Linked DNA regions of Lytechinus pictus. The protein of the gene in region 2 purifies or fractionates together with the protein of the main gene of each other region. This does not show direct contact. Links are inferred from orthologs where the notes say so. Each region holds a gene or a part of one and is shown on either strand. Other genes may lie near its edges.

Region 1 (8,140 bases), on a different chromosome or scaffold from region 2:
CATACTTTAAACCAGAATGAATACTGTTCAGATGTACATGTATATTGAGATCTAAAAATGTTACATCAATGAGATTTTATTACAGAATTGTCTTCTTACTTCTAGCTTTTTTCTCCTGGCTTCATCAAGAAAATCTTTCAGGATCTGGATCTGGGCTACCTGGTTGTCCTATGGTAGAAACAAAAAGCAAAATAAAAAAGAATATTATTATATCAATAATTAATTGAATAGTCCTACTAGAATCTGAATATTTTAATTCAATGATATCTACTATGATTTTAGGTATAAGATTCATGAAAGCAATGTGCAGCATAGAGCGCAATGATGCTTAATGACGTTATAATGAACTACAAAAGTCGCATTAATTTGATCCCATGAAGTGAGGCTGTAAATGACACGACTTGCTCAATACAATTCCCCCTTTTTTTGGGGGGGGGGGGTGGGATAGATAATTATGATAATATTGGATGGCTTTATGTCATGGAATACCATAAATATTTCAACTGTTAGAGCCAATATTCCAATTAAATGCACTTCATGTAATATTAGCCCTAACTCTTGGAATATTTCTGGTATCCCATTCTGAGACATCAATTACAATATACTTATTAGTTATTATTATCATAATTACGACTTCATTGTCTTCTGCTACATAATGCAGCAATATCTCCCTGTTATAAAATCATATGAGAGTTATTTATTTCATACCATCTCCAGCTTCCTTTTCTTGCTGACTAGTACTTCTAACATGAGGTTGACTTCTGCTAGATCCCATTTCTCTTGGTCTTGAATAAATTCTTGAACATCAGGTGTAGGACCACCAGTCTAAGAGAAATCAATCAATGTATGTAATAGCCTTGTTCTAATGTTGTTGTTTTTTACATTGAAAATAGCGCATGCTAATATTTGGAAATAGTTCACTAAAAGTTTGAAATCATTAATCTGTATTAAAGCCTTATATTAATATTGTAATCTTCCATGGAAAGTATTTCTAAATACTCTTGAGTGAAAATTTAGCTATTTAAAAACAATATAATGGCCTTTTCAATTTTCCAGTAAAATTAGCGTATTGATAAATCTAAATGCATGATATGGTAATATCCATGGCAAGTGTTTTCAAACAGTGAAAATCTGACTCAATTTTTCAAAATGATATTTAACAATCGATCAGTTGAGAGGAAGACTTTTGCTCACATGTTCCATATTTCTCATTTCATGTAGTATTACAAACAGAATCTCCTTTATAATTCAACCAAACTGAATTAAGGCTGTCATTACTCTTCCCTAAACCAATATGTGATGTCACATCTATACAATAGTTTCAGAATTTGTATTATTCTACAAACAATATAAGTTCTAGCGACCTTTACAGTGAGAAGAATCAGACTGCATTTTATGTAACCATATATTTCCCTGGTAAAGCAATGGAAAAAATTACACAGGGGCTCAGGGTGATTTTGCCCCCAAATGGTCAAAAGAGCTTTGGAAAACCCACATTAGATTGTTTACATAACCTACTGCACAAATCTGTAATATTGGATAAGCTTGTCCAATATTACAGATTTGGGCAGTAGGTTGTGTATAGAAGTCCCTAAAAATGAACTATCAATTTTTTACCTGTGGTAAAGCTACACGTAGAACTTTCGTGAATCTAAGGCTTCTTACCTGAGGGCCAAGTTTTAACCTTTTCTCTTCAACTCTTTGTCTGTACTTCAGAATAAGTTCATTCACTGCAAAGAGAGAGAGAGAGAGAAGAGAGGTAAAAATCAAGATAATATACAGTGTACCAAACAAAGTGAAAACTATGTGTGTTATATCGCATTCACTTTAAAACAATTCCATGATTTATTGATGTCTTTATGTGGGAGCTTCCTAAAAGGATTGTCTCTGTTCTCAAATTCATATGAAAAGTTGTAAAGCTATCAAATCACCGTGAAGTGCCAAAAGGATTGGAGAAATTGGGAGTCTTTTGTACAAGAATAATTATTTTACTGAAATGCAGCTACATGTACATGCAGATTGTAAAATATGAACTCTTTCAAACTTTGATTATCAATTCAAAACATCTAAAATGCATTTCAAAGACCTGTTGACATAAAAATTTACAAGGCAATATGAGTACAGGTACATGCTATTATATGAAAAAGCAAAGCAAATTAGGTTTATATCACTGGTGGTTTTGTTCACCTCCTACATATAATGTGCACAATTAAATAATTCCAATAATTAGTTGCTTTATTGCTTTTTGTCTTTGTGAACTTGGACCATTATGCCCAGTACCCATCTATGGATCTTGTCATAAATATATATTCTCCGTCTTCATTAATATCAAAACAAAACAACTCTAATTACACAAGGCACCTGCCCACAGCCTCCAAGAAACTGTATTGCATGTTGTCACAGAGTCACAAGCAACCTCCAGAAAACTTCTACGGTCACTTATACAACACTGCATTCCTTGCAAACACATTAAACACAGAATAAAGACAATTTGCAAAACCAATAGTGCAGTATAATGCTTTCACCTTGGCTCCCTAATTTAGTCTCCTATCAACTCGTCAACTCGTATGTACAATATCGCATTACCTCGCAATAATGTACAAAACTTACAGGCAAAATTTGGAAATATTTGGTCAGTCTTCTCTATAACAAAATTGCACTTTGGACATCTGTTGCTTGTCTCCAGGCTTCGCAATATACATCTCCGGCTAAGAAAGAAAAAAAAAACATAAAATTTTAAGAACAGAAGAATGTAAGATGTTTGTGCTTTATTCTGTATGTGTGTGGTTATATTACCTGATAACATAACCTGCATAAGAGTGTTTTTTGACAGACATCCATATAATTCATTCATTGTTAAAGTTTCAAATCAATATTAAATGTAATTTATGTTTTATTTTTAATTTGGTCTAATGCGCCTTAAATGGAAGATGCCCTTTCTAAATTATAACTATTGTTATTATATCAGTAATCGTTATTATCATGTAGTCATGGTAGGTACCACAAGAAGTTCAATTGTATTGCCAACAAACATATTAACATGCAATTAGAAAGCTTCACTGATTTCATCTTACCAGAAACTGTGTCCACATCTTGTCATATGCGCCTCCTCAATAACTTCAAAACAGATTGGACTGAAAGATACAATACATGATCTAGAATTAGTAATTTCTCACAGAAGAATGATATTGTAAATTTCCAGGAAAAAGGTATTAATAAATGTGAATGAGAGTGTTAACATGTCTACAAATGTCTCCAAAAGAGACTTTAAAAATTCGATATCACAAAATTCATGAGCATCTATAGGTAAAAGATAAACAAAATTGAGTATAGAAGGGGGTGGTTGAAAACATTCGATATCAAAGCTATCTAAATCTTTGGTAAATGTTCAATTCAATTCATTTTATTATCATGTAATCACTAAAAACATTAAAACTGTTGTGAGACTCTTGATGCATAACATGATGAACAGGAAAGTGCACGTGAAAAAGTATTTATCACATCAGGGACACAAATTACAAATGAATATATCAGAAACAGAAATAATTCAGATAATTTGAATTAGACTAAAGTATCATCAAACATTCTAACATGACTGTTTATTTATTTTTTTAAGTTACAGCATACATGTACAGGTATCTAGTGACCTACATGTAAATGTGTCTTGGAAATATTCTGATTTATATTTTAATGGCCATAGAAATTTGGAGATAATACATGTATATCTTTATGAATCACAAAACAGTACATGTATTGTTGCAACTACTAGAACTTCGCAACAATGGCAACTCCATATCTTTAGAAAGGAAATAAAACTTGTTTTGCATTATGAGGAGGTAAACATCAAGATATGTATATATATATTTATATATATATTTTAATGGATTCATTGTTTATATTAGTCTGCCCACCTGTGTGCTTTGAAACACCTGTATGAAGCGGCTATATTTATATACATTATTATATTTTACATTTCATATAAAATAGTGATTGGGTAAAGTAGGTCTTCTCATATTGACCATGGTGCGCATCGTTTTGTGATATTAAGGAAAACTTTATAACATAACCTTTTTAATTTTACATTTGATTTTGATGAAATTTTCAGTGCTACATGGATACTAGTTTGATTTTTCTCTTTTCATTCAAACCAACTTTTTTGTTGGTGTGGACTTGCTCTTTTTAAGGAAGCATTGAAATCATTAACCACTTTTATAAATGATGGTCTATTTCAAATGCCTCATATCATACTACACATGTAGCAAAACTGAAACTGTCAAGTTTTTCTATTATTAGCCTAGCTGTCTGGTTTAATACTTTATATAAATACATGTACATAGTTAACATTTTTTGTTCATTTCATCTTAAATAGGTACATATAAATTCTTGTTAAACTGCATGGTTGAAGCAAATAGGGGAAAAAATCTATTCACCAAAATGACCCGTATTCTGGTTTAACTTTATTAGACCATGGTCTAACTCTGTGCTGAAATTATGGAAAGCCAAATATGTCAAAATTTTGTGTACATTTTAAGTTTATTGTGTTTACTTTGCTCTTTCTTATAAAGTCTTTGATGGTGGAGTTGACTATATCTTTCACAAACAGTTAAAGGTCAAGTCCACCCCCGAAAAATGTTAATTTGAATCAATATAGAAAAAATTAACAAGCACAATGTTGAAAAATTTCATCAAAATCGGATGTTAAATAAGTTACACATGTATGACATTTTAAAGTTTTGCTTATTATTCACAAAATAGTTATATGCAGAACTCAGTGACATGCAAATGAGAGTTGATGTCCCTCACTCACTATATCTTTTGTTTTTTAATGTTTGAATTATAAAATATTTCAATTTTTACAAATTTGACAATAAGGACCAACTTAACTGAACCATAAATTTTAAAAACAATGGTAATTCCACATATTCAGGGAAAATAAAACTTCTTTTACATTACCATGAGGAGAAAATTAGAATATTTCATATAATAAAATACAAAAGAAATAGTAAGCGGGTGACATCATCAGTCCCCTCATTTGCATACAGACCAGGATGTGCACATAACTGATTTTTCTCTTTTTCTTTAAACAACTTTTTGTTGGGGTGGACTTGTCCTTTAAGAATGATTCGAGAGTCAACTGAGCTGATAACATTGAACCTCTACTGTTAGGAATCGATGCAACAAATTGACTTTCTATAGTTAAACCACAACTTCAGACCACAGTTTGAATTTAACCCAACTTCAGAATACAGGCCATGGAGTTTTTTTTTCAGTTTCTCCTTTGTGTGCAGATGTTCATCTTCAAAAACTTTAAAACTTAATTATCTTACCAATTTATACAAATAAAATGGGCTGGTAAATAGCAGATGTTGCCAATTTGAGGGTTTATCATGTACATGTAGAATTGCACAAACTAAGGTATCACTTGATAATGTGGAAATCAATCTGATAGATATTGCAGTACTGTATATCTGGATGTGTATTAGCCGCATGCCTATTGGGCCTGGGAACGAGGAAGGATTTTTTGGCACAAAAAGCAATCTTCCCAGGGTTCACTCTCGTCACCTCTTGTCACAGTGGGTGGACCAGTGTGGTCAAATACATTTCAATATGGGTATGAAAAAAAAAGGCCCCCCCCCGTGATTTATTGAACGTACCTCCACCATGCCCCATGGAAAGATAAGGTGACAGAAAGAGAGAGAAAGAAGAAGCGAATAGAGTAGAGTACATGCATATACAGATACAGTATCGCTCGAAATAAAGTTGACAGATAACGCACGTGAAACGCGCTAACCAATGTGGGTCTGACTATCGCAATATTCACGCGCGTGAACGTCAGGCCAGTCTGAGGCAGATATCGCCGTGTTCTTGCCGGTGATTCGGCGCACGGCCACGGCCGCGAACTACTGTCTCGAGCTGCGATAATTATCGCGATAGGACTCCAATCAGCGAACCTTTTCTATATCATTCGCAAAGATTATGGGCATAGATTATTTCTTTGAATTACATTTTCGATAACTGATTGGCTTGGAAAACAACTCACATGTAGCGATCAGTGGAATCGCTCTGCTTTAGAATAAGAATCTAGAATCTACTCGGCCGCGCATCACATGCCTGGCCAGGCCAGCAAACAATCTTGGTTCACGTTCCTGGCCTCAGTTCTCCGCCGTACGCGCGCGCCTGCGAAATGAAATGGGTTGATAGACGCTGACTACGAGTTTGTATGCCAGCGCAGCTGTCCCAAGCAAAGTACTTAAATTGTTAACGTTGAAATAGATTACTCACAATCGTCCCTCAGACCATGGACCTATTACATGCTCAGACCCAACCAATAATTATCCATTTTGTTTCTTCCTTCTCCAGCTCTAGCTAGGGTCCGAGTATCTGCCTGATGTTGACTCTTTGCTGGCTGAGCCAAATCTCAAGGCCCGTATTTAGAGTCACATAGCTTTTTGCATCATTATTATTACTACTACTACTATTATTTCTATTATCATTATTATCATAATCATCGATGTTATCATTAATTCTACCACTATACCGGGTTTTTTTTTTCTAATGAGACCCGAGCCCTATAATGGATTGATTTAACTTGCGTGCAATTACACGAATGTAAGCTAAGAATTACCAAAATATGGACCTCTTAAGTGTTAAAAAATAGATTTAGTGATTTTGTTTCAAGCATGATAATTGTTTTGAGGGAATATCACATAATTTACCTCCCTATAATTCTCTCTTTTCTTCCTATTTCTCCACCTACTATGATCCCCGTTATGATAATTTTGTGTTCATTCATTAATAGAGAGTATACTGAAAGAAAGAATAGAAAAACACAATTACAATTATTATTATTTGCAGCTCATCAGTACGATGCAGCATTAACTTAAGTTTACGTTTGAAACAATAATTGAGTGAATAATTCGTCGAATTAGGCAGTCTTTAAATCAGTTTTCTGAGTAACTTACGTGATGACAGTGATGGTTATTATGATCGTGATGACAGTGATGGGTATTATGATCGTGATGATGATATCGAAAAGAAAGGTAATGACGGTGATCATGATGGTGATGATTGTGATTGTAATCCTAACGATGATGGCAATGACAAGAATGGTGATGATGATAATTATAATGTTGAGATTATGATGATGGTAATAATGATCTTAATAATTGATCATTAGAATTATGAAATAATCCCGAGAATAGCAATAATAGTGATGATCATGGGCGGCGGATCAGAAGATAATATTTTGCGATGGGGGACAAATATTGATGCACCCTATGAACATAGGATATATCCCCTGCTTCGGCCCCCTCGGTGATGATTAATTAATGTTTTATGATGTTGACGGTGATAATGATATAGTGATGAAGGTGCCGAGAATAATTATGATAATAATCCTAAAAGTTTGATGATTACAATAGTTATATGTCAATGATGATTATGGCGATGGTGATGACATGGCAGTGGGGAGGGGGCATGTATGCATTTTTTTTTTTTTTTGAGATTCCATTTGAAAATTAAAGGTAAGTCCTATACTGAACAGTTTCACCGCGTGTTTCTCACCAAGGCGAACTTCTACTTCAAGCTATCGGTAATTACAGAGCTGCAACTCTCCAGTTGGTTCGGGATTCCACCCATGAACCTCAAACAGTGAACGAATGAACAATAACCAGGTAACATAATGGCATACGATGTCAATGGACAAAATTTTCTCCTTATGTCTATTTATCGTAAGGTTTCCATTACAGTGAGGCAAACATTATTTTGATTACATGGTGACTTCTTAAAAGTTGCCTAAGACTAAGTGTGGGATTTTTAAGGGGAAGGAAACACGCTGCATGGATTTTCTCCAAGAAACGTGATTTTTGAAACTTGTAAGAATGATGGTTTTTGGTAGGACTACATTTTTCAAAATTTTAAAGAAAAATTGAATTTTAGGCTTGAAAGAAGGTTAAAAAGAAGAGGATTTGTTTTCACAATTAGGTAATTGGCTGATCTACTTTTCCACTCCTGTCCTTCCGAGCTAGCATGTACACCCTTTACATGATGTCCTGATCCTTACTCTTAACCTAACAATAGATATCGATTGACCTATATATCTTTATAAACCACATCCGGTATAACGTATGCATCCACACAT
Region 2 (7,829 bases):
GAACAGTTGGGGCCAGCTCATGTATTGACTGTTTGGGCACGTGTCTGCAGCATAAATCTACAAGTAGTGCCAGTGCCTAGCCTACCATTGTTATGCCCATTGTTTTAAACTGAAATAGTTTATCAAATACCAACATGACCAAAGCTTAATTAACGTTAGACGGGAATTCATAACCGCATTTTTTTCTGGCATTCTCCCACTTTGCAGTATGCAACACACACTTTAAAAAATCATTAAAATAACATGTTTGTGACCAAAAATACTAATTTCCATACAGTTGCAATTTATTTTTCTTTAGTAACATGGGAATAATTTTTGTATTCACCAGAGCGTTCAAAAACTTGAATTTGGGGCATATTTCTGTGTACACCCTCTATTGGAGTAAAGTAATAATGGCATGGAAATTTTCATTTTTCAATGTCTATTTTTAATTTAGAAAAAATAATTAAAAGAATCAAATTTACTTACGGGCCAAGTTATATGATGATTAGCTGTAATGGAATCTCAGTGTCAAAGTCAAACAATCAAGCATGATTTGTTCCAATGAAAAAGAGAAAAATAAGCCAAACATTGCCAACCTTATTTTGCCACACATGGAGTACTAAAAGAGAACAAGGTTATATCAATAATCATAATCTTGTTCATTGAATGCATTTTCCTTTGACCTAACATCCCCAGACCCCGATGTCATGGATGAACATAGACAGCTGGCAGCCGTCCGTTTTTAGGATTTTTTAAAACATTTTTTTTTTCTCCTCATACACAGACGGCTTGCTATCGGGCAGCCACCATTAGGGGGTCAACAATGCAAAATCCCCCCGTCGGGGCTCATCGATTTTTGTCTTTATTTCATAACAATATATAAAAAGAACTTGTCCAAAATAAAGATTATTATTCTATTCTGGCCTGAAATGCACCAAAACAGGAAAAATAAACTTAAAAGGGGGAAAAACAGTGGCTTACTTTGGCTGTCGCGCAACTCCCACTTCCTGGTTTATCCGAACTTAATACAGAAACATATGGCCATTAAATCCCTGTACAGATCGAGTTAGAACTTCGGTCTCTGTATTTGGTGAGTGGAGCTTGCGGAGTTCAGCGGAACAACCAACATAACAGAGACCGAAGCTTTTGGTCTAGGATGTATAACATAGTTTAGGCTTATTAAATTACCGGACCAACTAAAAAAAAGAACTATGTACAGAGACTGAAGCTTTTTTCTATCAATGACAACAGATCATAAAACTTGAATAGATTGTATTGGGTCTGCAAAGAATTTTAGCTGAAACATGCCTCCCCCACCCCCTCCCATCCAAATGAAAATCATCATCATCCAGGGGCCGCGGAAGCGGGGGGGGCTGGGGGGCTTCAGCCCCCCCACTTTTTTCCAAAACCGTGTACAAAAACACAAAAATGACCATACGATTGTGATTTTGTACATGGTCAGCCCCCCCCCCACCTTTGAAAACCGTTCCGCGGCCCCTGTCATCAGATCTCTAAGCTCTGCTCAACTCCAAGTCAAAACACCATCCATCACCACCACTCACACGTATTGCGAGGTTAGTATTAGTATACTAACATTTTTTTTTTTTTCTCCTCATACACAGACGGCTTGCTATCGGGCAGCCACCATTAGGGGGTTAACAATGCAAAATCCCCCCGTCGGGGCTCATCGATTTTTGTCTTTATTTCATAACAATATGTAAAAAGAACTTGTCCAAAATAAAGATTATTATTCTATTCTGGCCTGAAATGCACCAAAACGGGAAAAATAAACTTAAAAGGGGGAAAAACAGTGACTTACTGGGCACCACCAGCACCACTCTAGGCGACACCCCAATACTTACCCGTGTTAATAAACTGGGACTCCACTCACGCGCATTTGGGCCGCCCTAGCTTAGAACTAAGCAATATTATCTAGAAATTGTTAAACTATAGTCATGAAATATGTTCTATTGAATAAATTGATAATATTAAATCGGTACTCACCGGTTCTTTTGTTGCATTTTCAGACCATTTCTCACAATTCTTCGTAAATATTTGCGGCAAATTTTGTCGCCATAGACAGCTATACGTCCATCTTTATTAATAAATGGAGCGCCCTTTACGATAGTTGTTAATGCCGCGGATAAATCGTTAGGCATTTTGGCCTGTGTTCAAGGCGTTCTTTCTGTTTTATTTTTTATATTGAAGATTGTGCATTTGTTGAATAGCGCCGTCTACGTCAGGTATGAGATCGAGTGTATAAATAGACTCTTCCAAAATAATTATGATTCCGACCTGGCGCTGTTTAACTTCAATCTCTTTCACCTAAATTAGCGATGAATGCTAGCATTATAAAATATATATTATTAACGTCTGACAAAAAGAATAATCAACCGATCAGCTGACGAGAACGCGAATCACGTGATCTTCATATCAGCTTCGATCGCGAGTCAGAAGTGAAGAGCAACTGCCCAGAAAATCAGGAAAAAGCCGTGAAAATGTAAGTTCCCCTTCATTTCTTTCATTTTTTTGTTGTTGCTAACGATGCATTCACACTATAAAATTATAATTTAAATAAGAGAAAGGAATATAGCTTGTACTTGTGATATAATATAGAAATATCCTGTTCTCAGAGATTTCTAACCAAAAATACTACTGATGTCGCCTATGAGGTCCATACATGTAATGTTTGGACCTCATTGGTACTAGCTAACTAGGAGTGACCAGCACCCCCTTTTACTGGGCACCACCAGCAGTGCAGTCCACTCACAATCAACTCACCTCTCCCTCAGTCGAGTCTCAGCTCAGTCTGACAAAAATGGGCAGCATCACTCCATTTCACCACTACTACTGCCACTGTGAAGTACTAAAATAGTCTGTGAATATTTCTAAAGATGAGCCATTCTCAATCTTTGGATCTAGTAAGATTGAATACCAATTTACTTGTTCTTATATACTCACCTTGCTCGGCTCTCGACTCGGCTCTGTTCCCTCCCGATGGATGACTATTGCAAGTGCTGTATGCAATATGCATGCAAAAAATAAAATACGGCGGTGAATGCTTCCGGATTCACACGCGTCTCAATGGCAACCCAAAATAGATCATGACATAATTGGCTTTCCAAGCGATGGTGCAACCGTCGACCAATCAATGGGCTTGCATTGGTTCCCAACCCCTGGCCCTGTGTGAATTAAAGGGAAATTTGCATAACAAAATGAGTGTGACGTAGTTTATTGACATCGGTCGATTGCTGTAAACGAGAGGGAAGAGGGGGGGGGGGGGGGGGGGGGGGGTACTCTGGTTCCTTTTTCGTAAGTTCGACAAACGTGGTGGAAAACTAATAGCTTAGAGCTATTCTAGGCCCTCTGAAAAGTCAGGCGCAAAGCCGGGGAAAGGCAGGAGTGATCCCGGGTGATGATGATCGCCCAAAAACGAAAAACACCCACAGAAAGGGGAACAAACGAGGATAGAGCCATTAGGATTGTGAGTATTTTTTTCTCCTTCAAATAAGTGAATAAATAAATAAAATATATATTATAAACATAAACGAGAGCCCCCTCTCCCCCTTCTCTCTAATTCTAAATTAGTATGAAATCAATTTTGAAGTTCCGCACTTATTAATGACGATACTCCCCTTTATCATGATCCTTTCTCAACCGAGCCTCGGTTATAGTTATATCTTGCCAGCAAGTAATAAAATATACTTTCGGGTGTGGACCTTTTAGTAGAGTATGAAAAGTCATAATTTTCCCCCTTTCCTATTAGTGACACAAATTCCCGCACTATAAGACCCCGATGAAGACCTACAACTTATACCCTTGCTTTTGTTTGGCTGCTGATCCCTGTTACCATGGTAATATATTTGTAACTCTTAATGAAATGGGTGGCATCAGGGGTGGGTCAGGCATCCGCCAACAGGGGGCCCGATTTTTCCACGCTCAGTAGGTTAGAGCGTCCGTCTCACAACCGGGAGGTCGGGAGTTCAAACCCCGGCCACGTCAGACCAAAAGAAGTTTAAAAAGTTGGGAATTGCTCCCCTGATTGGCGTTCAACGAATAAAGGCATAGAGCATCGTCGATCTGGCGCTGCACAGCGGCTATACCGGGCCCAAGATCAATTGGGCACAGCAAATTTTCGGAATATTTCATTTCATGTCTATTTCGAACAATAAAATGAAATATGGATATGAAATATGGAATCAGTGGATCCCCGATGGGCCGCTCAAAATTGATGTTTATTTGTTTCTTTGAAGGGGTAGTCCTAACAGTCACTTCTTAGCTTTATTCTTATAAAACAACATAAATGTGTTATAATCTCAAAAACCTTGTTTTTTATATAGTGCGAGCGCGAAGCGTTAGCTAAATGTTTTTTTTTTGGAAATGTCATGTGTTTTGTCTGAAAATTTAAAGGGGAATGAAACCTTTGGTACAAATAGGCTTGTGTCGAAACACAATAATCAAAGAATAAGAACAAAGAAAGTTTGAGAAAAATCGGACAAATAATGAGAAAGTTATGAGCATTTGAATATTGCAATCATTAATGCTATGTAGATCCTCCCATTGGCAATGTGACAAGGATGTGTGATGTCCACTGAACTAGAGATATTTCTAGTTCAGTGGTGATGTCACATGTGAACAACTTTCCCTTTGATGGACTCTAAAATACCCCCCAAATGTCTCTATTTGCTTTTTCTTAAGGTGACACAATCTCTTTATCCATGATGTATTCTTTAAAAATCTGTATTACATGCCCTCCTATAGAAAGAACACATGATCTACTGATAGATGTGATAAAAGAGGCAGTTTAAGTGAAATATATAGTAAAGTACTGGGGAGAGTTGTTCACAAGTGACATCACACATCTTTGTCCCATTGCCAATGTGAGGATCTCCATAGCATTAGTGATCGCAATATTCAAATGCTCATAACTTTATCATTATTTGTCCGATTTTTCTCAAACTTTCGTTGATCTGTTTCTTTGATTTTTCTGTTTTCACACAAGCTATCTTGTTTCAAAGGTTTCATTCTCCTTTAACATTATAAATGTTTGTGATCCTGAAAAAATGCGTATATGTAACGAGATAACTATACTGCGAGCGCGCAACAGAAATGTTTAAAATGCGTTCAGGCCTAATCGAAAAGGGACCTGTTATGCGAAGCGCGATCCAAACAAAATTCCGACCTAAAAATGGACATTTTAAGCAATTTTTGTAATCATGAACGGGATAGGTGATAGGTTATTGATGCAAGCGCAAAAGCGCGACCGGAAAAAAAAAGAGATATTAGACCTGAATCTTGACACTTCATGTTTTGTAAATCATGAAAAACGATGATAAATTTGTTATTTTTTTCTACACTGTAATGCGAGCGCGAAGAGCGAGCAGAAAGTTTTTGATATTCTGATATGAAATTGGATAATTTAAACACGTTTTAAATCCGAGAACAAGCTGTGTATCTCAATATACATGCGTGTGCTTGTTTTAGAGTTAGACCTCAGAATCTGGGCATTCTGAATGCATTTTTCTATCATCATAAAATCAATAATGCGAGCACGAACCGCGAGCTGAAAATATTTGATATTCCGATCTGAAAAATTTTAATTTAGCTCTTTTTCAAGCACTGTGTAGGAATATTGTGAAGTGGATGTGAACGCACATTATATATATATATATATTTATTTATATATATACATATAAATATATATATATATATATATATGGATCCGCCTATGGGCGGCATAGTCTCCTGGTGGGAGCGGGTAACTCTATATATCCAAATGCTACTCCCCATGCAGGGGCCGCGGAACGGTTTTGAAAGGGGGGAGGGAATGACCATGCAAAAAATCACAATCAGATCGTAATTTTTACGTTTTTGTACATGCACGATTTTGGAAAAAAATGGGGGGGGGGGGGCTGAAGCCCCCAGCCCCCCGGTCCCGCGGCCCCCTGTATAGGCTACTTTGGCTTTTCACCCCATGTGGGCATGAAATTCGTTCCGTACTATACGGTATTAAAATATTTAAAAAAGTAAACGACTTCGAATATCAAACTTCATTCAGTATCCCTCAACGTCCATCTCCTCTCTTATTTTGTGCCCTTTATCTGGAATTTTCAATGCCCAAGATGTTACACATCTGATTTTCTTTTCTTTCAAATTTTGATATATCACGCATGTTTCAGTGCTGTTCGCGTGACGTTTTTGCGCTCTATTTTCCTCGTAATCAAGTTCTACAATCTTATCAAGACCGGGAGACCTTGTGAATTATGATATCTGAATTTTGTTAACAATGGGAATAAACACATGAAAATTCAGAGCTACAACGTTATGCGCCCATATCATTTTTTTTTGGGGGGGGCAGAGTCAAGTTATGATGAAATTATTCATTTTTTGGAGTATAGAATTTCTTTGTTTTGCGCATATTGTTTTGTTGTTGTTTACTTCTATATTGTGTTTTATATTAAAGAAAATTAATTCCAAAATATGGACTCTGAATGGATCTTTTGATTAAATCTAAATTGGAATCATCTGACATTCAAACAATCAAAATTTGTACTTCGCCTAATAATTAAAAGTTTAGAAGTATCATTCAATTCAATTCTTTTATTTCATTTCCATTCAAAACATAATACAAAGTAATATAAAGTAATACAAATCAAGTACAATTTTACAGAAGGGCATTCTTACTTCGTAAAAAAAAAACACAGAAAAAACAGTATAATATAGAGCATAAATGGAAATGAGGGGGATCCACTAAAAAGCAAAGCTTGTAAATTGTGGATCCCCCTTGGAAAGGGCGGTGGAAAGGAATGAATTACACAATTTGGTAATTATAGGACTATACAAAAATATTAAAATTAACGACAGTGCAAAAAGCGCGATAGCTCAGTCGGTAGAGCGGGGGATTCGTATGCCGGTGACCCGGGTTCGATTCACACTTGGTGCGCTATTGCCCTTTGGTAAGGCATTAATCCTCATTACCAGGTCCTTCGGAGAGGACCTTAAGCCGTCGCACAGTGGGCCAGAATGAGTTGAAAGTGCGCCAAAATTATATTCCGTGTTAGATTTTTACTTTAACATGTTGCTTGTGGGTAATTTGGGCCGTAGAATCGACTGAACATAATTTAAAGCCGATATGACGTCACCTTGATACCAAATTTTGATTGGCTACTTAAAACCTATCTGTGAAAAGACAAATTACGCTAAACAATGTGTAGTACATAAACTTTGTGTTATGTGCTACTTTAAGATTGATCAGAGTGAATAGTGGTTTATGCTTCTCACATGCCTAAAAAGTGTGTATGAGATGCCGAAAATAATTTTATGGCATCAAAATGATCATTAATTAGATTTATAAAAAATAAAATAAAATCTGAAAAATATTAACCGTGCTTTATCAAGCTGTGTGGACTTATGTAAAACGCAGAGTATATATAACACCACGAATGTATCACTATAAGGAAGGTTTTGGGCTGAAATTATTCTACAAGTAAGTTTTATCTCTGGAAGAGTTGTGGGTATAGCCCTTATTTGCGTTAGCAACCTTTATTATGTTTATATTATGCCCGGAATTTATGTCATTTTCATGGAATGGAAGGGAATTGTCCTCGCCGTGCAAAAGCGAACGGCAATGTACACCCATACGGTGCGCTACGATGACTGCGCGGTATAAAAATGACCGTTTTTTAACAGGTTTTTGGGGTGTTGTGTCAAGTAAAATCGGCTCTAACATGAAAACGGGCAAAAACGGGCAGCTAAATTTGGTATCGACTTAAAGCTGAGACATCGGAAAAAATGATGCTTATAGAATTTAGACGGAAATCCACGGAAATCTAAACGTTTTTAATGTA

What was found.
Region 1: the proteins of major vault protein (region 2) and E3 ubiquitin-protein ligase COP1-like purify together in Homo sapiens (affinity purification with mass spectrometry; 3 studies listed by BioGRID and IntAct, with this or other methods). This does not show direct contact. The link is inferred for Lytechinus pictus from reciprocal best matches to the Homo sapiens genes MVP and COP1.

Annotation. Positions count from the first base shown.
Region 1 is NC_087259.1:28,174,985-28,183,124, forward strand, and holds the start of E3 ubiquitin-protein ligase COP1-like, read right to left. Parts: upstream 3,137-8,140; 5' UTR 3,101-3,136; coding exon 3,075-3,100; intron 2,709-3,074; coding exon 2,611-2,708; intron 1,731-2,610; coding exon 1,666-1,730; intron 826-1,665; coding exon 709-825; intron 169-708; coding exon 100-168; intron 1-99. UniProt on the Homo sapiens protein: E3 ubiquitin-protein ligase that mediates ubiquitination and subsequent proteasomal degradation of target proteins.
Region 2 is NC_087246.1:13,798,223-13,806,051, reverse strand, and holds the start of major vault protein, read right to left. Parts: upstream 3,069-7,829; 5' UTR 2,944-3,068; exon of another isoform or gene 2,753-2,943; intron 1-2,752. UniProt on the Homo sapiens protein: Required for normal vault structure. Vaults are multi-subunit structures that may act as scaffolds for proteins involved in signal transduction. Vaults may also play a role in nucleo-cytoplasmic transport.